Anolis sagrei: one gene and its partner. The protein of the gene in region 1 purifies or fractionates together with the protein of each later gene. This does not show direct contact. Links are inferred from orthologs where the notes say so. Each region holds a gene or a part of one and is shown in the gene's direction. Other genes may lie near its edges. The genes, in order: SCAP and SREBF2.

Region 1 (15,717 bases):
GGGTTGGAGGGGATTGATTTCATCATTTGGGAGTTGTAGTTGCTGGGGTTTATAGTTCACCTACAATCAAAGAGCATTCTGAGCTCTGCCAACAATGGAATTGAACCAAACTTGGCACACAGAACTCCCATGACCAACAGAAAATACTGGAAGGGTTTGGTGAGCATTGATCTTGAGTTTGGGAGTTGTAGTTCACCTACATCCAGAGAGCATTGTGGACTCAAACAGTGATGGATCTGAACCAAACTTGGCATGAATACTCAATATGCCCAAATGTGAACACTGGTGGAGTTTGGGGAAAATAGACTTTGACATTTGGGAGTTGTAGTTGCTGAGATTTATAGTTTGCCTACAATCAAAGAGCATTCTGAGCTCCACAATGGAATTGAACCAATCTTGGCACACACAGCTCCCATGACCAAGAGAAAGCACTGGAAGGGTTTGGTGGGCATTGACCTTGAGTTTGGGAGTTGTAGTTCACCTACATCCAGAGAGCATTGTGGACTCAAACAGTGATGGATCTGAACCAAACTTGGCATGAATACTCAATATGCCCAAATGTGAACACTGGTGGAGTTTGGGGAAAATAGACCTTGACATTTGGGAGTTGTAATTGCTGGGATTTATAGATCACCTATAATCAAATAGCACTCTGAACCCACCCCAAAATGGATGTGCACCAAACATGGCACACTACCAACATGACCAACATTAACTACTGGTGGGGTTGGGGATTGTCATTCACCAACACGGATGAGGACAGGCAGAGAGATCTTCAGCCTTCTCTGCCAAAAGGGTTCCTAAGACCATCAGAAATATGTGTTTTCTGGTGGTCTTTGGCGACCCCTCTGAAACCCCCTCATGACCCCCCCAGGGGTCCCGACCCAAGGTTGAGAAACACTGCTGTAAATAAATAAATAGTTCACCTACACCCAGAGAGCACTGTGGACTCAAAAATGATGGATCTGGACCAAACTTTGCACAGATACTCAGTATGCACAAATGTGAACACTGGTGGGGTTTGGGGAAAATAGGCCTTGACATTTGGGAGTTGTAGTTGCTGGGATTTATAGTTTGCCTACAATCAAAGAGCATTCTGAGCTCCACAATGGAATTGAACCAATCTTGGCACACAGAACTCCCATGACCAACAGAAAATACTGGAAGGGTTTGCTGAGCATTGATCTTGAGTTTGGGAGTTGTAGTTCACCTACACCCAGAGAGCACTGTGGACTCAAACCATGATGGATCTAGATCAAACTTGACACATATTCAATATGCCCAAATGTGAACAGTGGTGGAGTTTGGGGAAAATAGACTTTGACATTTGGGAGTTGTAGTTGCTGAGATTTATAGTTTGCCTACAATCAAAGAGCATTCTGAGCTCCACAATGGAATTGAACCAATCTTGGCACACACAGCTCCCATGACCAATAGAAAATACTGGAAGGGTTTGGTGAGCATGGACATTGAGTTTGGGAGTTGTAGTTCAGCTATATCCAGAGAGCACTGTGGACTCAAACAATGATGGATCTGGACCAAACTTGGCACAGATACTCAATATGCCCAAATGTGAACACTGGTGGAGTTTGGGGAAAATAGACCTTGACATTTGGGAGTTGTAGTTGCTGGGATTTATAGTTCGTCTACAATCAAAGAGCATTTTGAACTCTACCAACAATGGAATTGAACCAATCTTGGCACACAGAGCTCCCATGACCAATAGAAAATACTGGAAGGGTTTGGTGAGCATTGACCTTGAGTTTGGGAGTTGTAGTTCACCTATATCCAGAGAGCACTGTGGACTCAAACAATGATGGATCTGCACCAAACCCGATTCCTAAAACCATCAGAAATATGTTTTTTCTGGTGGTCTTTGATGACCCCCCTGACACCCCCTCGCGACCCCCCCAAGGGTCTCGACCCCTAGTTTGTGAAATGCTGTTCTAGTAGAAGATACAGGCTGAATGGCCATCTGTAAGGGGTGCTTTGATTGTGTCTTCCTGCATAGCATGGGATGGGACTATTATTATTATTATTATTATTATTATTATCATTACTGTGTTTGTTTACATCCCACTTTTTCTCTTCATGTGGCAACTCAAAGTGGCTCATAACTAAAAGCATTGCAATACAGCTTATGTATATACACTAGATTCACCCACCACGCGTTGCTGTGGCCAACCTTCCCTCCCTCTTTGTCTCCTTTCTTTCTCTCCTTCCTTCCTTCCTTCCTTCCCTCCCTCTTTCCTTCCTTCCTTCCCTCTTCTTCTTTCCCTTCTTCCTTCTTTCTTCTCTGTTTCTTTTCTCGCTTACTTTGCTCTTTGGTTCCATCCTTCCTTGTCTGTTTCCTTCCTTCCCTATTTCTCTCTTTCATTCCTTCTCTTCTTCCTTCCTTCCCTCTTTCACTTTTTTATTTCATTCTCTCCTTCCTTCCTTCCTTCCTTCCTTCCTTCCTTCCTTCCTTCCTTCCTTCCTTCCTTCCTTCCCTCCCTCCCTCCCTCCCTCCCTCCCTCCCTCCCTCCCTCTTTCCTTCCTTCCTTCCTTCCCTCCCTCTTTTTCTTTCCCTTCTTCTTTCTTCCTTCTCTGTTTCTTTTCTCACTTCCTTTGCTTTTTGGTTCCATCCTTCCTTGTCCCTTTCCTTCCTTCCCTCCTTCCCTCTTTCACTTTTTTATTTCATTCTCTCCTTCCAGCCTTCTCTACCTTTCTTTCTTTCCTTCTCTCCTTCTTTCTCTCCCTCCTTCTCTCCCTCCTTTCCCCTTTCTGTGTATGTGTTTTGTGTGTGCATATATGTCTGTATATATTTGTATATATGTGTGTTTGTGCATATATGTGGTTTTGCGCATGCGTTGTAATGTATTTTTTGTTGTTTTTTTGGCTTTTTAAGTCTCTTCTGCTGTATTTTTCTGTGTTTTTATGCAGGATAGTCACTTGTTGGCTTGATCAGTATCTTGTGTCCAAATTTTGTGTCAATTCACCCAGTGGTTATTGAGTTACGTTAATCCCACAAACGAATATATATATACAGTATTAAAATAGTATTAAACTATATGGCTCCTCCTCCAGCGGCATCTGCATCACAAGTGGGATACAAACATCTAGACCTCATTTATACTGATATATAATATAGTTTGAAACTGTATTACATGGCAATGTAAACAGAGTTCTTATCAGCCTTCCATGTTTGGTAGGGTTAAGGCGGACATGGGCAAACTTTGGTCCTCCAGGTGTTTTGGACTTCAACTCCCACAATTCCTAACAGCCGGTATGCTGTTAGGAATTGTGGGAGTTGAAGTCCAAAACACCCGGAAGATCGAAGTTGGTCCATGCCTGCTATAGACTTTGCAAAACTACGACTCCCAGGATCCAACAGCATGTGCCCATGAGTGTTGAAGTGGTGTCAAACTGGATTCATTCTGTAGTGAAGATGCACCCCGAGATAAATCTGCAAAAGTCCACAAGTGTGGAGGACGGATAGTGCAATGCTTCTGCATCTTCTGTCATGGCCAAAATCTTAATCCCTTTGTTCTTCCTCATGTCATAAGTGCTATTACATAAGTAATGAGACGTTCTTTCGTTTGTGCCAAGGCCATTGAGTAAGCCCTGGGATGAGGACACAAGCTTTGCCCCATTGTGTGGGAAGTTTGGTAAGTATTCAATGGCAGGTGCGGAGCTGGATTAACTCTTGCACAACAGGAAAGTGCGCAGCTGAGCTGCACCATTGCACATTCAGTCGCACAAGAGTGGAATTGACACACTCCCGAGCAGAATCACCTCTGATGACTTTAAGCACCACACCAGCTGGGTAAAATCAGCAATTTAGGAATTGTTCATTCGTTCAGTCGTTTCTGACTCTTTGTGACTTCATGGACCAGCCCACGCCAAAGCTCCCTGTTGGTTGTCACCATCCCCAGCTCCTTCAAGGTCAATCCAGTCACTTCAAGGATGCCATCCATCCGCCTCGCCCTTCGTCGGCCCCTCTTCCTTTTTCCTTCCATTTCCCCCAGCATCATTGTCTTCTCTAAGCTTTCCTTTCTTCTCATGATGTGGCATTCAAAGGACTTCAACTTTGTCTCTCCTATCCATCCCTCCAGTGAGCAGTCAGGCTTCATTTCCTGGAGGATGGACTGGTTGGGTCTTCTCGCAGTCCAAGGCACTCTCAGCACTTTCCTCCCAACACCACAGCTCAAAAGCATCGATCTTCCTTCGCTCAGCCTTCCCTAAGGTCCAGCTCTCACATCCGTAGGTGACTACAGGGAAGACCATGGCTTTGACTAGGCAATGGATCTTGGTTGCCAGTCTGATGTCTCTACTCTTGACTATTTGATCGAGACTGGACATTGCTCTCCTCCCAAGAAGGAAGCGTCTCCTGATTTCCTGGCCACAGTCTGCATCTGCACTCATCTTTGCGCCTAGAAATACAAAGTCTGTCACGGCCTCCACATTTTCTCCCTCTATTTCCCAGTTGTCAATCATTCTTGTCACCATAATCTTGGTTTTTTTAATGTTTAATTGCAACCCAGCTTTTGCGCTTTCTTCTTTCACCTTGATTAGAAGGCTCCTCAGCTCCTCCTCGCTTTCGGCCATCAGAGTGGTGTCATCTGCATATCTGAGGTTGTTAATGTTTCTTCCAGCCATTTTCACCCCAGCTTTGCATTCCTCAAGCCCCGCACATCCTCGCATGATGTGTTCTGCATACAAGTTAAAAAGGTTGGGTGAGAGGATGCAGCCTTGCCGGACGCCTTTCCCAATCTTGAACCAGTCTGTTGTTCCGTGGTCACTTCTGACTGTTGCTCCTTGGTCCTTGTACAGATTCCTCAGGAGAGAGACAAGGTGGCTTGGTATGCCCAGACCACCAAGAACTTGCCACAATTTATTGTGACCTACACAATCAAAGGCTTTGGAATAGTCAACGAAACAGAAATAGATGTTTTTCTGAAACTTCCTGCCTTTCTCCATTCTCCAGCATCCGGATATTGGCAATCTGGTTCCTCTCTCGTTCCTCTGCCTTTTCTAAACCCAGCTTGAACATCTGGCAACTCTCGCTCCATGTCTTGCTGGAGTCTTCCTTGCAGGATCTTGAGCATTCCCTTCCTGGCATGAGGAGAAATAAGGGCCACTGTACGTTTGAGCAGTCTTTCGCATTTCCCTTTTTTGGTATGGGGATATAAGTTGATTTTTTCCAGTCTGGTGGCCATTCTTGTGTTTCCCATATTTGCTGGCATATGGCATGCATCACCTTGACAGCATCATCTTTTAAGATTTTAAACAGTTCAGCTGGGATCCCGTCGTCTCCTGCTGCCTTGTTGTTAGCAATGCTTCTTAAGGCCCATTCCACCTCACTCCTCAGGATGTCTGGTTCTAATTCATTCACCACACCGTCAAAACTCTCCTCGATATTATTATCCTTCCTATACAGATCTTCTGTATAGTCTCGCCACTTTCACTTGATCTCTTCAGCTTCTGTTAGGTCTCTGCCATCTTTGTTTTTAAGGCCCATTCCACCTCACTCCTCAGGATGTCTGGTTCTAATTCATTCACCACACTGTCAAAACTCTCCTCGATATTATTATCCTTCCTATACAGATCTTCTGTATAGTCTCGCCACCTTCTCTTGATCTCTTCAGCTTCTGTTAGGTCCCTGCCATCTTTGTTTTTAAGGCCCATTCCACCTCACTCCTCAGGATGTCTGGTTCTAATTCATTCACCACACCGTCAAAACTCTCCTCGATATTATTATCCTTCCTATACAGATCTTCTGTATAGTCTCGCCACCTTCTCTTGATCTCTTCAGCTTCTGTTAGGTCCCTGCCATCTTTGTTTTTAAGGCCCATTCCACCTCACTCCTCAGGATGTCTGGTTCTAATTCATTCACCACACCGTCAAAACTCTCCTCGATATTATTATCCTTCCTATACAGATCTTCTGTATAGTCTCGCCACCTTCTCTTGATCTCTTCAGCTTCTGTTAGGTCCCTGTCATCTTTGTTTTTAAGGCCCATTCCACCTCACTCCTCAGGATGTCTGGTTCTAATTCATTCACCACACCGTCAAAACTCTCCTCGATATTATTATCCTTCCTATACAGATCTTTTGTATAGTCTCGCCACCTTCTCTTGATCTCTTCAGCTTCTGTTAGGTCCCTGCCATCTTTGTTTTTAAGGCCCATTCCACTTCACTCCTCACGATGTCTGGTTCTAATTCATTCACCACACCGTCAAAACTCTCCTCGATATTATTATCCTTCCTATACAGATCTTCTGTATAGTCTCGCCACCTTCTCTTGATCTCTTCAGCTTCTGTTAGGTCCCTGCCATCTTTGTTTTTAAGGCCCATTCCACCTCACTCCTCAGGATGTCTGGTTCTAATTCATTCACCACACCGTCAAAACTCTCCTCGATATTATTATCCTTCCTATACATATCTTCTGTATAGTCTCGCCACCTTCTCTTGATCTCTTCAGCTTCTGTTAGGTCCCTGCCATCTTTGTTTTTAAGGCCCATTCCACCTCACTCCTCAGGATGTCTGGTTCTAATTCATTCACCACACCGTCAAAACTCTCCTCGATATTATTATCCTTCCTATACATATCTTCTGTATAGTCTCGCCACCTTCTCTTGATCTCTTCAGCTTCTGTTAGGTCCCTGCCATCTTTGTTTTTAAGGCCCATTCCACCTCACTCCTCAGGATGTCTGGTTCTAATTCATTCACCACACCGTCAAAACTCTCCTCGATATTATTATCCTTCCTATACAGATCTTTTGTATAGTCTCGCCACCTTCTCTTGATCTCTTCAGCTTCTGTTAGGTCCCTGCCATCTTTGTTTTTAAGGCCCATTCCACCTCACTCCTCAGGATGTCTGGTTCTAATTCATTCACCACACCGTCAAAACTCTCCTCGATATTATTATCCTTCCTATACATATCTTCTGTATAGTCTCGCCACCTTCTCTTGATCTCTTCAGCTTCTGTTAGGTCCCTGCCATCTTTGTTTTTAAGGCCCATTCCACTTCACTCCTCAGGATGTCTGGTTCTAATTCATTCACCACACCGTCAAAACTCTCCTCGATATTATTATCCTTCCTATACAGATCTTCTGTATAGTCTTGCCACCTTCTCTTGATTATTTATGTAGATTACTGCTTATACTCACCAATCAGGTTTTCTAGGTGCAAGGTTTGCCAAATCCTAGGAATAGAGGAAGGAAATTATTATTATTATTGATGATGAGGATGATGAAGAAAACCATAATATTTTGTCTTAAATCCTTGTAAATGAACGAAAAGCAAGCAATTTTGAGAAATACAAACAAACATTGTTATGTGTAGAGATAGGTTATATAGCTGGAGTTACTCCCATGACAGCTTTAAGGCTCTTCCTGGAGCATGCGCACAATCTTCGTCCCGGCGCTAGGACCAAGCGGAAGCTTTTGCAGCAGTTGGCATCAGCGAGCGGAGGGCGTGGCTTAGCAGAGCAGAAGAGAAAAAAAAAACACCCGGTGGCGCATGCGCGCAAAAGGTTGAAGTCTAGGGCAGGAGAAATGGCGGAAAGGGTTTGTTCCTCCCTTACTCGCGGGCTCTTTCTACGCATGCGCACGAAAAAGAGGCGGAGCGACGGAAGCCGGGAAGCGGCGAAGGAGGAGAACGAGGAGAAGGCGAAAGCGGGCGGCGTGTGAGGAGGCGCGGAGGGGAAGAAAGGAAGGAAGGAGGCGGTTGGAGAGCTGTTCCCCGTCTTTTTTTGAGGTGAGAAGGGGAAGGGAGAGAGGGAGGCTCCGTAGGCCGCGCCTGGGGCTGAGGGGAGCCGCACTACTCCCAATCAGGCTCCCTTTGGGCCTGTTTTGGGGACCCTTTGAGGGAGGCCTCGACCTGTTGAACTCCTCCTTCCTCAATGGCGATTAGGAACCAGCCTGGGAAGCCGTTTCAGTGTTGTAGTTACAATATTTGAATGGGTTTTAGGTGATCTTCGGTTTGATTGTAATGTTTACATAGAATCACAGAATCCTAGAGTTGGAAGAGACCTCCTGGGCCATCCAGTCCAACCCCATTCTGCCAAGAAACAGGAATATTGCATTCAAACCACCCCTGACAGATGGCCATCCAGCCCCTGTTTAAAAGCTTCCAAAGAAGGAGCCTCCACCACACTCTGGGGCAGAGAGTTCCACTGCTGAACGGCTCTCACAGCCAGGAAGTTCTTCCTCTTCCTCATGTTCAGATGGAATCTCCTCTCTTGTAGTTTGAAGCCATTGTTCCCTTGCGTCCTAGTCTCCAGGGAAGCAGAAAACAAGCTTGCTCCCTCCTCCCTGTGGCTTCCTTTCACATATTTATACATGGCTATCATATTTCCTCTCGGCCTTCTCTTCTTCAGGCTAAACATGCCCAGCTCCTTAAGCCGCTCCTCATAGGGCTTGTTCTCCAAACTCTTGATCATTTTAGTCGCCCTCCTCTGGACACATTCCAGCTTGTCAATCTCTCTCTTGAGTTGTGGTGCCCAGAATTGGACACAATATTCCAGGTGTGGTCTAACTAAAGCGGAATAGAGCCTGAGGAGCATGACTTTCCTAGATCTAGACACTAGGCTCCTCTTGATGCAGGACAAAATTCCATTGGGGTTTTTTTTTGCCGCCACATCACATTGTTGGCTCATGTTTAACTTGTTGTCCACGAGGACTCCGAGATCTTTTTCACACGTACTGCTCTCGAGCCAGGCCTCATCGTCCCTCATTCTGTCTCTTTGCATTTCGTTTTTTCTGCCTAAGTGGAGTATCTTGCATTTGTCCCTGTTGAACTTCATTTTTTTTTAGTTTTGGCCAATCATCTCTCTAATCTCTCAAGATTATTTTGAATCCTGCTCCTGTCCTCTGGAGTATTGGCTATCCCTCCCAATTTGGTGTCGTCTGCAAACTTGATGATCCTGCCTTCTAGCCCTTCATCTAAGTCATTAATAAAGATGTTGAACAGGACCGGGCCCAGGACAGAACCCTGCTGATGGCACTCCACTAGTCACTTCTTTCCAAGATGAAGAGGAAGCATTGGTGAGCACCCTCTGCGTTCGTCCATTTAACCAATTACTGATCCATCTCACCGTAGTTTTGCCTAGCCCACATTGGACTAGTTTGTTTGAGTTCAGAGGAGAGCAACTGCTTTGGGAGACGGTGGTCGGGCATCCGGACAACGTGGCCGGTCCAGCGGAGTTGATGGCGGAGGACCATCGCTTCAGTGCTGGTGGTCTTTGCTTCTTCCAGCATGCTGACGTTTGTCCGCTTGTCTTCCCAAGAGAATTGCAGGATTTTCCGGAGACAGCGCTGATGGAATCGTTCCAGGAGTTGCATGTGATGTCTGTAGACAGTCCACCTCTCACAGGTGTATAGCAGGGTTGGGAGGACAATAGCTTTATAAACCTTGGTCTCCCTACCGATGCCCCGGTCCTCAAACACTCTCTGCTTCATTGGGAAAAATGCTGCACTCGCAGAGCTCAGGCGGTGTTGTATTTCAGTGTCAATGTTGACTTTGGTGGAGAGGTGGTGGCCATGGGAGTGGAAATGATCAACATTTTGTAATGTTACACCAATAAGCTTTATCTCTGGCGTTGGAGAGGGATTGGCTGGTGACTGCTGGAAGAGCACTTTGGTTTTCTTGATGTTCAATGACAGGCCGAGCTTCTCCTATGCTCTGCGAAGGTGTTTAGAGTGGCTTGTAGATCTTCTTCTGAATGTGCACAGATGACGTTGTCATCAGCATACTGGAGTTGTATAACAGATGTTGTTGTAACCTTGGTTTTGGCTTTCAGTCTGCTGAGGTTAAAGAGCTTGCCATTTGTCCGATAGATGATTTCCACTCCGGTGGGAAGCTTCCCATCAACAAGGTGAAGTATCATAGTGATGAAGATGGAGAATAAAGTTGGGGCAATAACACATCCCTGTTTGATGCCTGATTCCACCTTAAATGGGTCACTTTGGGAGCCATTGCTGTCCAAGACTGTTGTCATCATGGAGGAGCCGCAGGATGTTCACATGCATGTCGTCTATAACCACAAGTCTACACCATTATCCTCCACCTCCTCCATTCAGTATTATCCACACACTTATCTAGTATGTCTTAGAGTTCATTCACTCTTTTGTTTTTGTTTTTTCCCTTCCCTCCCCCCCCCCCACCCCAAATACCACATTTCCATTAGAACTTTAACTCCATCCATGAGCTCAGCTTTTCCCATCACTGTACAATATTTACATTGGCTTCGCCTCTTTTTATCTATTCTGAATATATGAACCATTTCTCTTTAATTTTCCTCATTTTATCTTCCTTCATATCCTCACAGGTTACATTTGCAATAATTTCTGATTGGATCTGGTCAAACAAATATTTATTCCAATTAGCCATATTCGGTTTTTTTGCATCTTTCCAACCCCAAGCTATCACAGAATCATTGCTTTGAAGAAGCAAGAATCATTGCTTTGAAGAAATCTTGATATTTTGGATTGATTTTCTTGTTTCCTAATATTCCCATGAACATCAACTCCATATTTATTTGAAGTGGTATCTTAAATATTTTCTCCATTTTTTCTGTTATTTGTTCTCAAAATGTTTTTGCCTTTGGACATTCCCACCACATATGTGCATGCCAGAAGCATTTATGAGCCCCCTGGGGGGTTGAGAAAGGCGGGGTACAAATAAGTTTCCAACAGACCTCACAACCTCTGAGGATGTCTGCCATAGATGCAGGCGAAATGTCAGGAGAGAATGCTTCTGGAATACGGCCATACAACCCAGAAAAATCACAACAACCCAGTAATTCTGGCTATGAAAGCCTTCGACAATACCTTGGAGACAGTGTTATTCACAATATTTTTAATAATTTTGTGAACAGAACAAGGCTTGTGTACATTGAATCTCCAGAAAGGAAACGTGCCACTCTCTCAAACACCCAGGGGGACAATTTTGGATTTTGAAATTCTGATTAAAGGGATACTCTAATCTTCCCCCTTGGATATTGGAATATTTGGATATACATCATGAAATATTTTGGAAATAGAACCCTGGTTAATTTACATTAGTTAATTAGTTAATTTAAGTTTCATATGCACCTTATACACTTAGCCTGGAGACCTGGGTTTTGGTTGATTGAACAAACCTTGGAGCTGGCCCAACATTTCTATCTCTTCCTTATCTCTTTTGAAAGTTTAGGCCTGTGGGTGGCTGTGAATCTGTCAGGTTTCTCCCTCTCAGGCCCAAATTGCTGATAACATGCTCATTGTTTTCCCCCTTCTTCAAACATTTACACAGTGAATATCTACCTGTCAGGCAGGTTATACCAACTGGCCTAGTTTGGATGGAGGTGGCCATTCTGACTCTTGGACCTTTCTGTTTCCATGGCTGGTTAGTGGCTCTGTGTATTGTTATTTTCATTACCCTCACCAAACTGACAAATCAATAAATTGAGCATATCAAGGAAAGGAGACTGGCATAATTTGCTCCCGATTAAGCAGGGTTTCCACTTTGCATGTGGTTTGTTTAGGGCAGTGGTTCTCAACCTATAAGTCCCCAGATGTTTTGGCCTTCAACTCCAGAAATCTTAACACCTGGTAAACTGGGTGGGATTTCTGGGAGTTGCAGGCCAAAACACCTGGGGACCCACAGGTTGAGAACCACTGGTTAAGAACCACTCTTTGCCCCGGAGTGTGGTGGAGGCTCCTTCTTTGGAAGCTTTTAAGCAGAGGCTGGATGGCCATCTGTCAGGGGTGATTTGAATGCAATATTCCTGCTTCTTGGCAGGGGGTTGGACTGGATGGCCCATGAGGTCTCTTCCAACTCTTTGATTCTATGATTCTATGATTCTAAGGGAAGATTGCCTCTTGGGAGCCTTCTCCATCTACTTCCAGCCTGGAAACACATAGAATCAAAGAGCTGGAAGAGACCTCATGGGCCATCCAGTCCAACCCCCTATGAAGAAGCTGGAATATTGCATTCAAATCACCCCTGACAGATGGCCATCCAGCCTCTGTTTATTGTCCATTTGTCCATCTAAATGAGAACAAGGGCCTAAAAAGTAGGAACGGGTCTGAGATCAACCATCAACTTCCATGGCTGGATGTAGGGCTGAAACTGACAAGAGCTTTCCATAGAAACTTTATTTGAGTGTGATAAATTAGTTCTGTAATCTTGTCTGCAGTTGTTCTTAGTGGCAATTGTTGGATCTTATGAGTGTGGGATGGTGAAAGAATCTGGCGGGGACGAGACACAGGGCCTTCTCAGTGGTGGCCCTTGGCTGTGGAACGCCCTATCTGCAGAAATTAGATCGCCCCCCTCTCTGTTAGCATTTTGGAGGAAAGTGAAGACTTGGTTGTTCAAGCAGGCATTTGAATAGGCAGTGTAACAAATATAGGATATGTCCCTAATATGTCCCTAAATGCACTTTACTAGTGATCTAGGATTGTCTGCTCGCTCCATCCCTCTCCAAATACCTATCCTAGTTATATGTCACCTGGTCATGCCCAGCATTATTTTTAAATTTTTAATTACTACATTTGGCCCTGCCACAGGTTTTTAATGCATCATGGTGTTATTGTTAATGTTTACTGCTTTGTTTATGATTTTATTTATTGTCTGTATTGTTGTTGTTGTTTTTACTGATGTATTTGGGCTCGGCCTCTTGTAAGCTGCACCGAGTCCTTCGGGAGATGGTAGCGGGGTATAAATAAAGGTTTATTATTATTATTATTATTATTATTATTATTATTAATTGATTGTTATAATGCTATTGTTTTAATTGTTTTTAACTGTTTATGATGTTTTAAGCATTGAATTTTGCTATTGTGAACCGCTCTGAGTCGCCTGAGGGCTGAGAAGAGCGGTATACAAATATAGTAAATAAATAAATAAACAAAATCTGCAAAGTGGTTGGGAAATATATTGCCACTTGTGAGTAGTAGAAGGTCTAAAGTTGTAGAAGATTTCATTAACCATCCCTTTCATATAGAAATAAAATAATCGCCATTTTTGCAGGACTTTTAAATATTCAGAGGGCTTTGGAAACAATCGCAACCCTTAAAACAAATCCTGTAAACTTTGTTTATTAAAAGTATTTGTTATAAGTAGCCTACCTTGTCTCTAAGGTATTAGCACTCATATATCTGATGGTGAAATCATTTGAGAGAGTAGTTTGCCAGAGACCCATGGGAGCAAATAACCCAGGCAAGATTCAGCCCAGGGCCTTCCTGATTGATGGTTTGCCCTCTTCACATCTCTGCTAATGTGCAACTATGTGGAGATACTGTGTCTGTGAACAGGACTCAGGTTGCGTTGTGAAGCCAGTGGAAAATACACCTTGGCAGCACTCTTCACCTCCACTCTGAGTCACTGCAGATTTCACCATCACAGTTTCTTCCTGTGTATTTGTTCAAGCTCATTGTGCGTAAATGTGTGAGTCAGGGCTGGGGGCAACTGGGATTTCAGGCGTGTGGATGGCATTCAAAAAATGGTGCTGGTCAGGATGGCATGTCAAGCCCTGCTCAGATGCAAATAGATGAGATTTCCGACAATCTGTTTATTATACTTGTCTGTATGCCTTGATGCATAATCAGATTAAATCTTAATATGGATTTTAATATCGTATTTATATGTATTTGCAATGGTGTTTTTAATTGGTTTTTAAGTCACACTGGCCTTTTATTTGCAAGGAAAGACAAAACAGAAATTGAATATGCATGTGTAGGATCCAAACCTAACCAAAGTGGGTGGTGTCTGTGTCTGCTAGATTTATCTGATATCATAATTTGCTTATAAAATAACATGCAGATGTTTACCCTTGGAATCAACTTTGCATCATACTGCCTTGAGGATAGAAAGTATGATACCATTCTGATATATCCTGCATCTGGTAAATACATGAAATTTACAAAAGAGATATATTAATCTAAATTCTGTGCAATTATTTGTATGCAGAACATGATATTATGAAGTTGGAGAACCTCAAACTGTTAAAATATGAATGTTGCTAGCCTAGAACTCTGGAACTCACTCCCTAAAGACATCAGACAGGCCCCAACTCTGGCAGTCTTTAGGAGGAACTTGAAGACGTGGTCGTTCCAGTGTGCCTTCCCGGAATAATGATCCCATAGCACTTTGTCCTCCAAAGCACTTTACATTTCTTTAGGTCTGCTCGTATGCCCTTCCACAAGCACCACTATCAACTTTTCGTCCATGTCCCAGCATCACTTCCAATTTTAATTTTACATTTGGCCTTCCCACTGTTTTTAATTGTGTGCTGTCTTATTGATAATGTTGTATATCTTATTGTCTATGTTTTTTTTTTAATTTTTATTACTTGTATTGTTGTTTTACTTCTTGTATTGTTGTATTTGGGCCTCATGTAAACCGCACCAAGTACCTTCGGGAGATGGTAGCGGGGTACAAATAAAGTGTTGTTGTTATGGTTATTATTATTATTATTATTATTTCTTTAGCTCTTGTGTGCCTGTTACATCTCATTCCCTTGCAGAACATTAGCTTGTACCATGACAACACAGTTAGGCTACTAGTAAGGACTAATTCTAGGAAACATTAACTAATGATAGGTTGTTTGTTTTCAAATACAGGGAGTACTTTGTCAATATAGCACTCTTCTATTGCACGCCTGTAATTATCACATTTTAATCAGTGAGTTGATGCTCATTTAATAGAATCTTTACTCATGTATTTGTCAACTTGGCCTTTGCATAATTAACATATTTTTCTCCCTTATTATTACAATAAGTTTTAGAATCATTTTTAAGATTTAAAGCTTGAAATGTTGCGGACGTTTGGCAGCATAGAGTAGAATCATATGTTTATCTAACATATGACGTACCTCTAAATGACTTGTTGCTGTATAAATCCAAAAGTGAGATGTTTATAAGATGAAACTCATCTTATAAACACACATAAAATAGACATGAAGCCAGGATCTCCTCTGTCATTTGGAAGTTGAAAAGAAAAGATTCATTGGACATACTGTGGAACCACAAAAGGTGTGGAGGGGCATTGTGCAGGATGAATGGACGTTGTGTCAAATCTATAATGTGGTTGAATTCTTTAGATGGAAGTAGTCTTGGCTAGCATTCGACATGTGTTGCAAACGATGAATGAGCAGGGTAATTCTAGAAAAGACTGCAACAATCCAACAGTTGCAGTGGCTTTTGTAGTCATAAGACTTTTGAGGCTGGGAGTTTGCTGCTGGCCTTTGTCTGTGGTTGTTGAGGTCACATATTATGGGATGGTAATGTAGGGAGAACAATGAAAAATGTATTCTGGAAATAAACTTGAGTTGGAGAGACAAATGAAAGGCAGGCAAATACACAAATGTATTTATTTGGAGTTCACAAAGAGGGTTCATTTTGTTTCTGGCACCATGTTCAATGTCACAGTCTCCTCCGTTGTCTCATGAAGATCTATAGGAAATTGGATAATCTGTTTCTCCTGTGTGCTCTCAGATATCTTGTTGTTGTTCATTCGCTCAGTCGTTTCCGACTCTTCGTGACCTTATGCCAGAGCTCCCTGTTGGCTGTCACCACCCCCAGCTCCTTCAAGGTCAATCCAGTCGCTTCAAGGATGCCATCCATCCACCTTGCCCTTGTTCGGCCCCTCTTCCTTTTTCCTTCCATTTTCCCTAGCATCATTGTCTTCTCTAAGCTTTCCTTTCTTCTCCTGATGTGGCCAAAGGACTTCATCTACTATCCTTCCCTCCAA
Region 2 (16,040 bases), on another chromosome or scaffold:
AGAAATCCCAGCCAGTTTACCAGCTGTTAGGGTTTCTGAGAGTTGAAGGCTAAAACTTCTGGGGACCCACAGGTTGAGAACCACTGTCCTAGAGCTACGCAGTTAAGCTTTCAATTATGCTATTGCAGTGGTTCTCAACTTGTGGGTCCCCAGATGTTTTTGGCTTTCAACTCCCAGAAATCCTAACAGCTGGTAAACTGGCTGGGATTTCTGGGAGTTGTAGGCCAAAACACCTGGGGACCCACAGGTTGAGAAACACTGTACTATTGGCTTTATATTAGAGAAAGACTGACATTGGCCATAGTCAATGCTCTCTTTCCATTTCATATTTCTCCACTGATGAGTTGAATTGTGGATTCACACATTAACACATGAGCACACTCTGGGCATTTGGCCCCAAAATGACTCTGTTTTGGCACAATGGGTAGCTTTTGTCCAGGACTGGAATTGATCCAGACCAAGAAAAATCTCAAAATTCAGATGACTGGGGCATCGTACTTCCCCATCCTGTATGACCACTTGCTGTGCTATCACTCGGCACACATGTTACTTCTATCAAGGCCAGTTTTGGATAAAATTTTATTTTCAGGCCTTGAATGAATTGCACAGCTGTCTAGGGTAGCTTGCTCTTGCCAATGGAAGATTATTTTGTGAGGAAGGAGGGTATTTCTGTGGATGCTGCAGATTTCGATGTGCTGCCTTCAGGCTGTTTACAAGGCTAAAGATGGAGATTGCTTTTATTTTCTATGAAGAGAGATGGTTACGCTTTGTTTGTTTTTCCGATATGTATTTAAACTGGAAATTAACTTTGCGTTTCTTGAATAAAATTGAACGTTTTAAAAAACCACCCAAATCTGATGCCTAGTTCATGAACCGTTTGTGTTTTGGAAACACTGATAAAAGTCACATGCTCCTGTATCTGGTCACGAGAGATGACTGACTCCTCCTATAGATACAGATATAATATTATAAGCTGCCATATGAGATTTTAGAGTCTGTCACGACTTTAATTCAGAATATATTTGTTCTTCATTCTTCTGATTCTTCTAGCTCAGTTCTGGAGCAGTTGTAGGGATTCCTGAAACAATCTTTTAACTATTACATGGGAATACATTGCTTCTCATGCCCCGGGGGGGGGGGGGGGGGCTTTAAAGCATAAATGTTGACATCTATATAAATAAAAATGTACTGTTTGTTTGTGGGATTAACATAACTCAAAAAACACTGGACAAATTGACACCAAATTTGGACACAATACACCTAACAACCCAATGTATGTCCTTCACTCAAAAAAATGATTTTGTAATTTGGGAGTTGTAGTTGCTGGATTTATAGTACACCCACAATCAAAGAGCATTCTGAACTCCACCAATGATGGAATTTAACCACTCTTGGGACACAGAACTCCTTTGATCAACAGAAAGCACTAGAAGGGTTTCGTAGGCATTTAACTTGAGTTTGGGAGTTGTAGTTCACCAACATCCAGAGAGCACTATGGACTCAAACAATGATGGATCTGGACCAAACTTGGCACGAATATTCCATATGCCCAACTAGAAACACAGATGGAGCTTGGGGGAAATAGACCATGGCATTTGGGAGTTGTAGTTACTGGGATTTATAGTTCACCTACAATCAAAGAGCATTCTGAACCCCAAGAATGATAGAATTGGGGCAAACTTCCCATACAGAACCCCTATGACCAATAGAAAATACTTAAGGCCATCCAGTCCAACCCCCTTCAGGGCAAGAAAACTTAATACTGTTTACCCACAAGCATAAAGAAATTACATATATTAGAAACCAACACTTTCTCATTACTTTATTTTCCAGATCACCAGACTGGGCCATAGCAACGCGTGGCAGGGGGCAACTAGTTCATTATAAATGCTTCATAGTATCCTCAGTATTTGGTTTTCTTTAAATACATTTTAAGTACTATAGCTACTGGCCCAAAATATTAGTATTTTGGAATTTAAATGGTTGCTATATTAAACTCTACGGCACCTATCAGCTGCAAATTAACTTTCAAATGAGCTTTGTTTCAGGGCTTGTTGAAGCACAAGTTGGATTGTAAACCTTTTCTTGCATTTTCTAGCTATGGACTTGCAGTGATCTCATGTCCCGTTATAACACTGTTGCCTCCTTGTCTAACTGTTTTTTAAGTGTTTTCACTAGCTGATATTTGGAAAATGAAGATAATCTAAATCATGGCCCTTTTTCATTCTTTTTGTTTTAGACAGTGATTCCATACCCCTTTTACAGCAGGCTGCACTCAGGGAAACGATAGCTGGGTGAGGGAGAAACAACCTGCATAAACAAACCTACACAGAGAAAAACATTATATTGAGTCATTATTTCAGCCTGGTGGTGCAGCAGGTTAAACCGCTGAGCTGGTGAACTTGCTGACCAAAAGGACGCCTGTTCAAATCTGGGATCAGGGTGAGCTCCCACTGTTAGCCCAGTTCCTGCCAACCTAGCAGTTCAAAAACATGCAAATGAGAGTAGATCAATAGGTACCACTTTGGCAGGAAGGTACCGGCACTTCATGCAGTCATGACCTTGACATGTCTATGGACAATGCCAGCTCTTCGGCTTAGAAATGGAGATAAGCACCATTCCCCAGAGTCGGACACGAATAGACTTAATGTCAGGGAAAACTTTACCTTTACTTTCATTGTTTGGTAAAATACTTGCAATAGAAGATTTACAAACATTTTTGCACTCTTATTGTTGCAGTATTCAAGTGTATCTTTTATTAAAAGCCTAAGTGCATGTGCTTTTTTGGTCTTTTTCATTTTTATTTTATGTTTTATTGTGGTAGATTGATCAATGCTTTATGGTTACTTTATTCAACACATAAATGCTAGATTTGGCATTTTTTCTTTATTGGCAGTTCTTATCAACAAGAAATGTGTCCATATTTTTGTTTTTAATTTTTCTGTGTCTCCTGTTTCTGCATCCATTAGTACAGTATTTGGACACCAAGACACTAGAAGCATATGAAGAATGTAAGCCTAAATTTTATTTATTTTGATGGAGAGTAATCCATTATGCCTAAAAATGGCTGCTTATATTCAAATTATTTGTTGTTGTTTTTGTTTGTTTCCAACTTATGGTGACCTTAGGCAAACTTAGCACAGGGTTTTGTTTGCAATATTTGTTTAGAGGGGGGTTGCCTTTTCCTCTTCTGAGGCCGAGACAGTATGACTTGCCCTAAATCACCCAGTGTGTTTCATGGATGAGCAGGGATTCGAATCTCAGTCTCCAGAGTCATCATCCTAACACTCAAACCACTATAACATGCTGGCACTGTTTATATTTTAACCCCAGAAATAATCATGCTCCAATTGACTTTCTGTATTGTGTTGCTTCCGTGAATCTGAAATAATAGGGCCAAGGAGGAATAGAAAAAGGGTTATGCTTGGTAAAGGACTGCCATGAACACACTTATTCCCGAAGCTGTACCTGAGAATGTTAAAGAAGCTCCAGCTATTGCTTTAATTCTTAAATTTCTTGCTATCTCTTGTGAAAATATGGCATGATTTAGTTGGTGGTGATGGTGGAGGGGAAGCTATAAAGTTGCAGAACAACATTTTATCTATAGTTAATGCTGGCTGAATTCCAGGAAAAACTCTCCTATCAATGTTAAAGATATGGAAAGGTTAATATGTTTTTACAGTGATAGAGCTTTTATTATTTTCAGTTTACCTTAGAACAGCGTTTCTCAACCTGGGGGTCAGGACCCCTGGGGAGGTTGCCAGGGTGTGTCAGAGGGGTCGCCAAAGACCATCAGAAAACACAGTATTTTTCTGCTGGTCATGTGGATTCTGTGTGGGAAGTTTGGCTCAATTCTATCGTTGGTGGAGTTCAGAATGCTCTTTAATTGTAGGTAAACTATAAATTCCAGCATCTACAACTCCCAAATATCAAGGTCTATTTTCCGCAAACTCCACCAGTATTATGAACTCATTGCACTATGGACTCATCATTGTTGGAGTCCATAGTGCTCTCTGGATGTGGGTGAACTACAACTCCAAAACTCAAGGTCAGTGCCCACTAAACCCTTCCAGTATTTTCAGTTGGTCATGGGAGTTCTGTGTGCCAAGTTTTGGTTCGATTCCATCATTGCTGGAGTTCAGAATGTTCTTTGATTGTAGGTGAACTATAAATCTCAGCAGCTACAACTCCCAAATGACAAATCAATCCCTCCAATCCCACCAGTGTTCAAATTTGGGTGTATCGGGTATTTGTGCCAAATTTGGTCAAGTGAATGAAACTACATCCTGCGTATCAGATATTTACATTATGATTCATAACTGTAACAAAATTACATTTATGAAGTAGCAGCAAAAATAATTTTATGGTTGGGGGGCCACCACAACATGAGGAACTGTATTAAGGGGTTGCTGCATTAGGAAGATTGAGAACCACTAGCTAAGAGGAACTCTTAGTGAGTTGTGTTGACTGTACATAAATGGTGTGAGGGTTGTTTTCAAACATACATAAAAATAAATAACTCTAAAGTACAGTTCCCAGTGACCAATGTCTCAAGAAAATTCTCTTAGAGCTTAAATTAAAATTAAACCCATAATTTGAGGAGAGGAAAGATGGACTTGCTTTGAAATCCGATGGTATCCATACAGCAAGTGGATGGCACATAGACATTTATAAAATGGTTAATAAAATTTGATAAGTCATTAAACCATTGGGAACGTTTTATGTAATTGTACCATGCTGTCACCATATAATGTATTGGTTTGAAATTGCATCCATTATTTTGAAATACCCTGTATATCTTGCTCAAAGTACTCAATTTCTCATGGGCTTGGAAAGCAACTAGTGAGTCATTCATTACACAACAGATGTTTAGGTGGGTGATGTGGAAAAGTAAAACGTTGGTTGTGATGTGAAATGTTTTTTTAAGGAGACAGCACAGAATGCCTCTTTCCTCGCTCACAGTTATGAGAAATGCAGTTGTGAATATGGACCTAAACTTTTTCATCAAAATATCTAGCCTAAGGGTGTCAAACTCATTTTCCTCAAGAGCCACATCAGCCCTGTGGTTGCCTTCAGAGCACCGTTGAATCTATGGACAGAGAATCCATGGATACAGAAGGTCCACTATAATTTTTTAAAAGGAGTGGTCAGTGCTCTTCTGTTTATACCCTATTTGCATTCTAGATCTTATTGAATGAGAGCTCTCATCACTTTTCATTATTTGCCATACAGACCTAGTAATAATGGGAATAGCAACCCAACAACACTTGTGGCTCTGAGGTTGGGGAAAGGTTAAAGAGCATTTGAAAGTCAGAAATCATATCCACAAGCCTTCTATCTAAATTCAAACCCCACTATCCTGACAAAACAGGACAATCTGCAGCGTTTCAGATTTATTACAACTCCCATCAGCTCTAATCATGTTGTCTAATGATGAGGAATACAGAACTGTATGTAGTCTAGCATCTGGAGGGCCACATAAAATGGCATGGAAGGCCAGATCTGGCCCATGGGCCTTGAGTTTGACATGTGATATAACCAATTTAGATCCTGGACAGTGCATTTTGTTGCAGATTTGCATGGTGATCCCTCTGTAGACGGAACGTCTGTGCAGTAAAGTTCTGTTTGCTGAAACTATTGAAAGAAATATGCAGTGTGTGCAATGTTCCATGACATTGTTTTCACTGCACTAAAGTAGAAAAACTTGATGTTTCCCATCAGCCCATAGTGATGGATGGTTGCAGTTTTTATCTATGCATTCTGCTCTTTGGAGGAGCAACTCTGCGGATGGGTGGAGCACCTATTAATTTTTGGGTTTGAGGGCTTGAGTTTAGCTATTAGATTATAGCTGTGTACTAAATGGGAAATTAAAACACATTATTAGTAGGAAGGAGCCCCTGGTGGTGCAGTGGTTTAAACCGCTGAGCTGCTGAACTTGCTGATCGAAAGGTCACAGGTTCGAATCCGGGGAGTGGGGTGAGCTGCTACTGTTAGCCCCAGCTTCTGCAAACCTAGCAGTTCGGGAAAAAATGCAAATGTGAGTAGATCAAGAGGTCCCATTCTGGCGGGAAGGTAATGGCACTCCATGCAGTCATGCTGGCCACATGACCTTGGAGGTGTCTACGGACAATGCTGGCTCTTCGGCTTAGAAATGGAGATGAGCTCCAACCCCCAGTCAGACACGACTGGACTTAATGTCAGGGGAAAACCTTTACCTTTACTATTAGTAGGAAAAGGGAGGAAATGGAACACTGCTGTGTTTTCCCATTGTTCCTCTTTTTGTTTTACTTGTCTAAAAAGGTGTATAATCTTTTGGCATTTTAATGCTCGACAGATTATATTATGGCACACCCTTTCCTAGACGTATGAATCATTATTCTAAACTGACAAGTGTATTGTCCTCTCCATACATGGGCATATAGACAGAGATTATAAATAGTGGGGCCAAATACTTATCACATGTGCAACTTGTGACTGTGAGCTTTCAGAAAATTCTCCATCTCCAAGTAGAACATCACTCCTATCTCAAAATATGAAGCACAAACATTCTGGCTATACCATCAAGCTACTTGCTAGCTGTCTTTCCCTCCTTCTTTTCACCTCACTTGATGAAAAGGTTTTGGAGAATTAGAAAACATAAGGAACTAAAACTCGTCAATTAAGTATAACACCTGAATTCAATTTATGATTTTCCTGGCAGAGTTACTGCTATGCCACTTAGTGGTTCTGAGTTAATTCTCAGTTCTGCTCCCATTAATCAAGAAACCACAAGGTTAGTCCCAAGAAGATGGTTCTTCTCAATCTATCCAGGTTATGACCATACAGTGCATTATGCAAATAACAGAATCAGCCTCACGGGACACTGGCCGAAGATACATTTGACACTTTCGCTGAAGTACAATGGCATCACAGATTGTACCAAAACAAACTAAATATATGTGATGCTGCAAATCCTTACTATATATATATAAGTATGCTTATTTATATATATGTTTGAACCACTAAGGCTCTTATATGGTTTGATGAGTCTGAACCAAACTTGACACACATACCTCATGATTCAAGTTAAAATAATTGAGAGAAGGTGGTGGTTGTGGTGGTCTGATTGGAACTGTAGTCCACCCACACTTGGAAAGCCATGTAAATCCCACCAGTGGTGAACCTGGATCAAACTAAACACACATACCCATCATGACCAACTTAAAAATACTAGCAGGGTGTGTAGGAATTGTCAGAGGACAATGGGAGTTACTACTCTGAGGATTGTATACTATTGAACCGTGACAGTTAAAAGCAGTTTCAAACTGCATTAATTCAACAGTGTAAGATGCACTCTCAGAGACTGATGGCTCAATCTATCTATATAAATAAAAATGTAATGTTCGTTTGTGGGATTAACATAACTCAAAAAGCACTGGGTGAATTGACACCACATTTGGACACGATACACCTATCAGGCCAACGAGCAACCATCACTTATAAAAACACTGAAAAACACAGAAGAGACTTAAAAAACAAAAATTACATTACAATACATGCGCAAAACTACACACACACATATATATGTATATGCAAATACACATAAATGCACATATAAACAAATACACACACACACACACACAAAACACATATACACAGGGGATGGCTAGTCTATATAAATAAAAATGTAATGTTCGTTTGTGGGATTAACTCAAAAACCACTGGACAAATTGACACCTAATTTGGACACAATACACCTATCAGGTGAACGAGTGACCATCACTCATAAAAACACTGAAAAACATAGCAGAAGAGACTTAAAAAGCCAAAAAAACTAAAATTACATTACAACTCATGTGCAAAACTACATTTATATGCAAACACACATATACACTAACTGGGCCACAACAATGTGTTGCAGGGGATGGCTAGTCTATATAAATAAAAATGTAATGTTCATTTGTAGGATTAATATAACTCAAAAACCACTGGACAAATCAACACCAAATTTGGACACAATACATCTATTAGGCGAACGAGTGACCATCACTCATAAAAACACTGAAAAACACAGCAGAAGAGACTTAAAAAGCCCAAAAACAAAAATTACATTACAACTCATGTGCCAAACCACATTTATATGCAAACACACATATACACAACTGGGCCGCAACAATGCATGGCAGGGGATGGCTAGTCTATATAAATAAAAACGTAATGTTCATTTCATATATATTCATATATACACAAACACACATATACACGAATATATATGCATACATACACACACAAAACACATATACACAGACTGGGCCACAGCAATGTGTTGCAGGGGACAGCTAGTCTATATAAATAAAAACATGATGTTCATTGCATATATATGGTCATATATATGATCATATAAACACAATCACACACATATCTACACATATACACAAATATATATGCATATGCACACACACACAAAACACATATACACAGACTGGGCCACAGCAACGCATGGCAGGGGAAGGCTAGTACTAAATAACAGGCCTGGGCCAACTTGGGCCCTCCCTCCAAGTGTTTTGGACTTCAACTCCCACCCTTCCTAACAGCCCTAGGCCCCTTCCTTTTTCCTCTCAGCCGCTTAAGGAAAAGGAAAGGGTCTGAGGCTGTTAGGAATTGTGGGAGTTGAAGTCCAAAACAGCTGGAGGGAGGGCCCAAGTTTTGCGGTGCCCAACTGTGGAGTTGTGTGGCTTTTCTCGAGGACCAGTATATAATACAGCTCTTAAATGGCCAGGCCACTTCTGAATAATTCATGAGCTCCCCGCCTCCTTCATGCATATTCAAATCCGGGAAGGCCCAACAGGCGAGGGACGGGCGGGGGATGCCCCTCATGTCCAAAGCCAAGCTGCTGATCGCTGACGCGCCATCACACCACGAGCCGCTCCGCGCGCTGATTGGTCGAGGCGGACCTGGTCTCATTGACAACCAGCCCGGCGCGCGCTCCTGGCAGGTGGAGGGGCGGGGCCTCGGCGAAGGAGGGAGGCCCAAGATGGCGGCGGCCTGTGAGGCCGGGAGCGCAGGCAGCCTCCGCTGAAGCCGCGCCCGGTTGGAAGGAGGAAGAGGAGGAGGAGGAGGAAGGGTTCAGGTCCCGGGTGTCGCCGGCGCCTCCGAGGCCGCGCTGGCCATGGAGAGCGGCGAGCTCAGCAGCATGGAGACCATGGAGACCCTAACGGAGCTGGGCGACGAGCTCACGCTGGGAGACATCGACGGTGAGTCCCTCTCCCGCGCCCCCCTCAGGAGCAGGCCGGAAGTGCATCCACACGGCGGAATTAATGCAGTTTGACACCACTTTGATTGCCAGGCCTCGATGCTGTGGAGTTTGGTGAGGCTCCAGGATTCTTTGGCAGAGAAGGTTAAAGAACTACAACTTCCCTGAGTCTATAAAACAGGCATGGGCAAACTTGGGCCCTCCAGGTGTTTTGGACTTCAACTCCCACCATTCCTAACAGCCTACCCACTGGATTGCTATAGGTTTTCGGGGCTGTATGGCCATGTCCCAGAAGCATTCTCTCCTGATGTTTCACTCACATCTGTGGCAGAGGTTGTGAGACTTCTTGGAAACTAGACAAGTGAGGTTTATATATCTGTGGAATGTCCAGGGTGGAAGAAAGAACTCTTGTCTGCTTGAGGCAAATGTGAATGTTGCAATTGGCCACCTTGATTAGCATTTAATGGCCTTGCAGCTTCAAAGCCTGGCTGACTGCTTCATGGTGAAATCCTTTGGAGGTGTTAGCTGGCCCTGATTGATTCTTGTATAGAATTCCCCTGCTTTTTGAGTGTTGCTCTTTATTAACTGTCATAATTTTTGAGTTTTTTTAATACTGGTAGCCAGATTTTGTTCATTTTCATGGTTTCTTCTTTCTGTTGAAATTGTCCACATGCTTGTGGATTTCAGTGGCTTCTCTGTGTAGTCTGACATGATAGTTGTTAGACCAGCTGTTAGGAATTGTGGGAGCTGAAGTCCTAAACACCTGGAGGGCCCAAGTTTGCCCGTGCCTGTTCTATACTACTGAGCCCTGGCAGTTAAAGTGGTGCCAAACTGCATTAATTCTACAGCGTGGACATTCTGTACTTTTAAAAAAAGTTTTGTCTGAAGGAGTGGATTGTTTTTGCTTGAAGCCCCATCCCACCCAGTTTTCCATATTGATAGACTCCAGAATTACTATTACAATACGATTACAGTAGGGTGAGACAAAAGTCACAAAGTGGTTTCTGCATTTAATAACTCCTTTTTGTTTTTAATTTACCATGCCATAGTATTGTATACCATATATACAGAAAATACATTTACATCACTTGTGAAAAGTAAAATCTTGTAAAAGGCATCTAATACTAATACTACTACTACTACTACTACTACTAATAATAATAATAATAATAAAGCTTTGTGTGCTACCACCATCTCTCTGAAGGGAGTTGGGGCAGCTCACAGAAGAATATACCCGCAGTCACCAAGTTACAAACAAAATAGGATCTGTAGGTTTGTTCTTAAGTTGAACTTGTATGTAAGTTGGTAAGTGTAACTCAGCCCAACATATATATTTATTAGCTTTGGGTTGCATAGGGAATGGTTAATGCACTGCCTTGGTGTTTGTTTTATGTCTGTGCCACTGTGCAGAAGATTTTGCTTGTGAAAGCCAGGTTTTTTTTGTGTCAGGAGCTACTTGAGAAACTGCAACTTGCTTGTGGTGAGAGAGAATTAATTGGCCGTCTGCAAGGACGTTGCCCAGGGGACGCCTGGATGTTTTAGCACCCTGTGGGAGGCTTCTCTTGTGTCCCCACATGGGAAGCTGGATCTGACAAACGGGAGCTCACCCCACTCCCTGGATTTGAACCGTAGACCTTTCAACAGTCCTGGCAGCACAAGGATTTAACCCATTGCGCCACTGGGAAATCCAGCCGGGCAGTGAAGAGAACTAGGTCTGCTAAAGAGAAGAATAAATGGGTCCTAAATTAAGCTGGAACTTTCCCTAGAAACCAAGATGACTCAACTGAGACTGTCGTATTTTGGCCTTGTCAGGAGAAGACATGACTCACTGGAAAATATTATGCATGGAAAGTGGAGGATATTAGGGAAAGAAGGAAGACTGCATTCCTGAGAGATAGCCTCATTCAATGAAGCCTGGGCGGCCCTGACTTGAATAAGGTGGTGGAGGATAGGGCAACATGGGAGTCTCTCATTCATGTGGTCACCATAAGCCATAGAATTATAGAATTGAAAGAGACCACAAGGGCCAACCAGTCCAACCCTCTGCCATGAAGGAAAAGCACAATCAAAGCACCCCCAACAGATGATCATCGAGCCTCTATCAGACTCTGAGGCAGCAAGTACCACTGCAGAACAGCTCTTATAATCAGGAAGTTCTTCCTAATGTTTAGGTGGAATCTCCTTACTTGTCACTTGTACCCTGGTTTCTAGGGCAGCAGAAAACAAACCTGCTCCCTCTTCCTTATGACAGCCTTTCCAAGTTGACTTGGGGGCAATTAACAGCAAAAACATATCCAGAAGATGAGGAAATTTTGGACTTAGTTGTGTCATTTTGCTGGTGCTATTGCTACACTTGTGGATACTAAGGATACATATCAAATATATGACAAATGGAATTATTGAGTCTGTTGGGTGGACACACATATGTAAATGGTAGCCTAGTATTAACTGGTGTTACACAGCAGTGAGTCATAGTGAGATTTCTGGGAAAATATTGTGGTGTGACTGGCATCTTGGGGGCATACTGATGAGGCATTCTTTGGGCTGTAATGGTTTAAGGTGTGACATAAGAGTTTTGCTTATTTCTCTTGATTCACTTGGATATAGTTGGTGGTCGCTGTTTGCATTTTGGAGGTCTAATTAAGGTCTTATTGTTAGTAATGTTAGAAAGTTTTAGTAATATTGCAGCCAAATTTAGTAAGCCAGAATTATACCTGAATTTGAGAACAGGGAAGTACAGTACTTTAAAACCTATTATAGTCATTGAACTACAGGGGTGACTATCACCTCCATAAACTTGCCAAGAAAAAAAATTGGAGTAATCTCAGAATGGTACTTTTCAACAAACTCACGATATTTTTTTGAGATTCTACATTTACAGTATTCCTTAGTGATATGTCATGCAAAGCAATTGATAAAAGTAATGGAGAAGAATCACATTCTTAAGTAATTGTAAATACTTACTTAGGCGATCCCTCGCTTTCCGAGGATGATTGTCTTCCAATATTCTTGTGGGTCCGTATGTGGCTGTGGAGCCCTATTCTTGCTCTGCATCTTCTTCCGCAGTGAGGGCATTGGTTTCCAGGTGGAAGGCGGTCTCGGCTGGGGTTGGCTTGACGCGCCTTCCTCTTGGCACGTTTCTCTTTTTCACCCTTTACTCGTGCCTCCTCAAATTCTGCAGCATTGCTGGTCACAGCTGACCTCCAGCTGGAGCGGTCAAGGGCCAGGGCTTCCCAGTTCTCAGTGTCTATGCCAGAGTTTTTAAGGTTGGCTTTGAGCCCATCTTTAAATCTCTTTTCCTGTCCTCCAACATTCCGTTTTCCGTTCTTGAGTTCGGAGTAGAGCAGCTGCTTTGGGAGACGGTAGTCGGGCATCCGGACAACATGGCCGGTCCAGCGGAGTTGGTGGCGGAGGACCATCGCTTCAATGCTGGTGGTTTTTGCTTCTTCCAGCACACTGACGTTTGTCCGCTTGTCTTCCCAGGAGATTTGCAGGATTTTCCGGAGGCAGCGCTGATGGAATCGTTCCAGGAGTTGCATGTGACGTCTGTAGACAGTCCACGTCTCACAGGCATAAAGCAGGGTTGGGAGGACAATAGCTTTATAAACAAGCACCTTGGTATCCCTACGGATGTCCTGGTCCTCAAACACTCTCTGCTTTATTCGGAAAAATGCTGCGCTTGCAGAGCTCAGGCGGTGTTGTATTTCGGTGTCGATGTTGACCTTGGTGGAGAGGTGGCTGCCAAGGTAGCGGAAATGATCAACATTTTCTAATGTTACACCATTAAGCTGTATCACTGGCATTGGAGAGGGGTTGGCTGGTGCCTGCTGGAAAAGCACCTTGGTTTTTTCAATGTTCAATGACAAGCCGAGCTTCTCGTATGCTTCTGCAAAGGTGTTGAGAGTGGCTTGTAGATCTTCTTCTGAATGCGCACAGACGACGTTGTCATCAGCATACTGCAGTTCTATAACAGATGTTGTTGTAACCTTGGTTTTGGCTTTCAGTCTGCTGAGGTTGAATAGCTTGCCATCTGTCCGATAGATGATTTCCACTCCGGTGGGAAGCTTCCCATCAACAAGGTGAAGTATCATAGCGATGAAGATGGAGAATAGAGTTGGGGCAATAACACATCCCTGTTTGACACCCGATTCCACCTTAAATGGGTCACTTTCAATAGTCATTGAACTACAGGGGTGACTATCACCTCCATAAACTTGCCAAGAAAAAAAATTGGAGTAATCTCAGAATGGTACTTTTCAACAAACTCACGATATTTTTTTGAGATTCTACATTTACAGTATTCCTTAGTGATATGTCATGCAAAGCAATTGATAAAAGTAATGGAGAAGAATCACATTCTTAAGTAATTGTAAATAATGGTAGTAGTATAATACTTCATAAGGAACAAAAGTCTACCATTTTGTAGTTGCAACATCTGCTCTCTTTAAAAGTGCTTGCTGAACACTAGCTTTTCACAAACTGTAGAGAGCAGTGCGTACAACTAGCAATTCTATCCATATTCTCCCAAAACCATGTTACACTGAAAGGATACACCATACCACACATACACAGTTATACCAGGAAGATGCAGCTTTAATAATACTTAAAAAGAAGTAGCCAAGGGTATGCGTCTCTGTGTTAACCCTCCCACAACCACAGTATATATCAGTGGTTCTCAGCTTGTGGGTCCCCAGGTGTTTTGGCCTACAACTTCCAGAAATCCCAGCCAGTTTACCAGATGTTAGGATTTCTGGGAGTTGAAGGCCAAAACATCTGGCACTGGTATATATGTTTTACACTGAGGCCCTAATACTACTAGATACTTCACCTGAAGAAATTGGTTTATATCCAAGGGAAAGCTTGTATTAAAATAAAGACACCTAGTTTTAAGGGTGGTGCCAATTTCTTTTCTTTCCACCCCCCTTCCTCCTCCTTATTAAAATGGTTATCCAAATTTGAGTTAAGGTGTTTATATCTGCACTGCTTTCAAGTTCACTTTTTTACCTTAATTGTTTTACTAGTAACATTCTGGCTTAACAAACACCAACAATATACATGTTGTGCTGTGAAGAGAAAGTAGTTTTCTGCTCCTCATTTTAAAACTGAAATGCTAACGTAGTCCCTATATCTTGTCCAATTTAGGTTGACTAAAATAGGAATATCCAACATTTTAAAGTTTCTTTTGCTGAAACACTTATTTCCTTGTTACGTCCACTTGGCTCACTTTTGTACATTACTTGCAGTCTTAGTATTTATACACTTTCCAACTGGATAAATAACCGAGGTGGAAAATACATTATTTGCCAAAAAGGGAAAAAGGGTTTTCTTGAGATGTGACTCTAGAAGTGCTGGAAATAACTATTTGAGGTGTGTGGGAAGGTAAAATAAAAGTTAGATTTTCTTTGAAGACATATTTTGAAAATTTCAGGGTGCTTTTGTCATGCTGTCACCACACTTCATTCATGGAACCTTACCTGGGTTGGGGTTCTCAAAGTCATAATTTTCAATTGTCATCTCATGTTTTCCAACTACAGTGTTCCCTTGCTACTTTGCTGTTCGTTTTTAGCGGACTCACTGTTTTGCGGGTTTTTGAAAATATTAATTAAAAAATTAAATATTTACGTCTAGTGGAGGCCAGGGAGGCCAGAGCCTGGAAGTGAGGTGGCCTGAGGTGTAGTGAGGAAGGCCTGGCTCCCTGGCCTGCTGCTGCCTGTGTGGCTCCGAAGGCTCTGTGGAAGCCAAGGAGGCAGGTGCCCTTGGGATGGGCCGGGAGGTGGTTAAGGAAGGGCGGGTAAGAAAATAATATATAAAATAATGTATAAATATTAATATAGCATCCCTACTTTGTGGATTTTCGCTTATTGCAGGCGGTCCTGGAATGGAACCCTTGCGATAAGTGAGGGAACACTGTACTATACTTTTTCTTTCCACAAAGCTCTATCAAAGAAGAAAAGATGGGTTAGCTGTACAATGCCTTTTGAGTAGTAGCTCTAAAAGACTTCTTGTTTGGAAGTTCCCAACATGGCAAGGGTGTTGCATTATTTTGATGTGATGATTATTATGCTATATTACTATTATTTAAATATTTTTTCAGTTGAGTTTGTAATAGTAAAATTTTGGTCAGTAAATTAAGAGGCAAATCTGTCATTACTTCCTGATACTGTTAGAGTACCAGTATAATATGTACAGTATCTTGTTCAAGTATTGTGTTATTAAATGTAATTTACACAAGAAACACAAATGATATACACCGTAGATTGCACTCCGATTCATACCTACTTTAGCCCCATTGGCATCAAGAGGAGCCAAGTTAGCTATGTTATCTGAAGTCTCATGGATCTTAGTGGATTGAGTTTAAATACTGAGTGTATCCAACCCTTTGTACTATAGATGTACATTTATGTATGTATGTATTTAAAGACCTGTGTTCAGGACCCCATACTTCCTTTTTTGTGTATATGCCTGTTTTTCTTCCACAATTTGGTGTAACAGCAATATATTCCTTTCCAAGAAAACTGTAATTCATGGGGTCACCATAAATCAAAAGGTGACCTGAAAGTGCATACACACGCAGTGTATATGTAGTAGCTATATTTCCTGCACAATGTGGGTTTGTTCTTTAGTCTTGCTATCATGCTCTTCTCTGTAACCCTTTTTATGTAGTATTCTTCAAGGAATACTTGAGAACAACCTAGTGATAGACTGTTACCCACTATTTTCAGGTAACTCTCTTGAGCCTCAACATTGTGCTCTATTCTATCCAGAACATAATTTGCCCTCAGTGGACTTTTCACTGTGTAGTTTGTTT

The links.
Region 2: the proteins of SCAP (region 1) and SREBF2 purify together in Homo sapiens (affinity purification with western blotting; 3 studies listed by BioGRID and IntAct, with this or other methods). This does not show direct contact. The link is inferred for Anolis sagrei from reciprocal best matches to the Homo sapiens genes SCAP and SREBF2.

Annotation. Positions count from the first base shown.
Region 1 is NC_090026.1:131,096,636-131,112,352, forward strand, and holds the start of SCAP (sterol regulatory element-binding protein cleavage-activating protein), read left to right. Parts: upstream 1-7,536; 5' UTR 7,537-7,740; intron 7,741-15,717. UniProt on the Homo sapiens protein: Escort protein required for cholesterol as well as lipid homeostasis.
Region 2 is NC_090025.1:161,122,211-161,138,250, reverse strand, and holds the start of SREBF2 (sterol regulatory element-binding protein 2), read left to right. Parts: upstream 1-8,971; 5' UTR 8,972-9,148; coding exon 9,149-9,233; intron 9,234-16,040.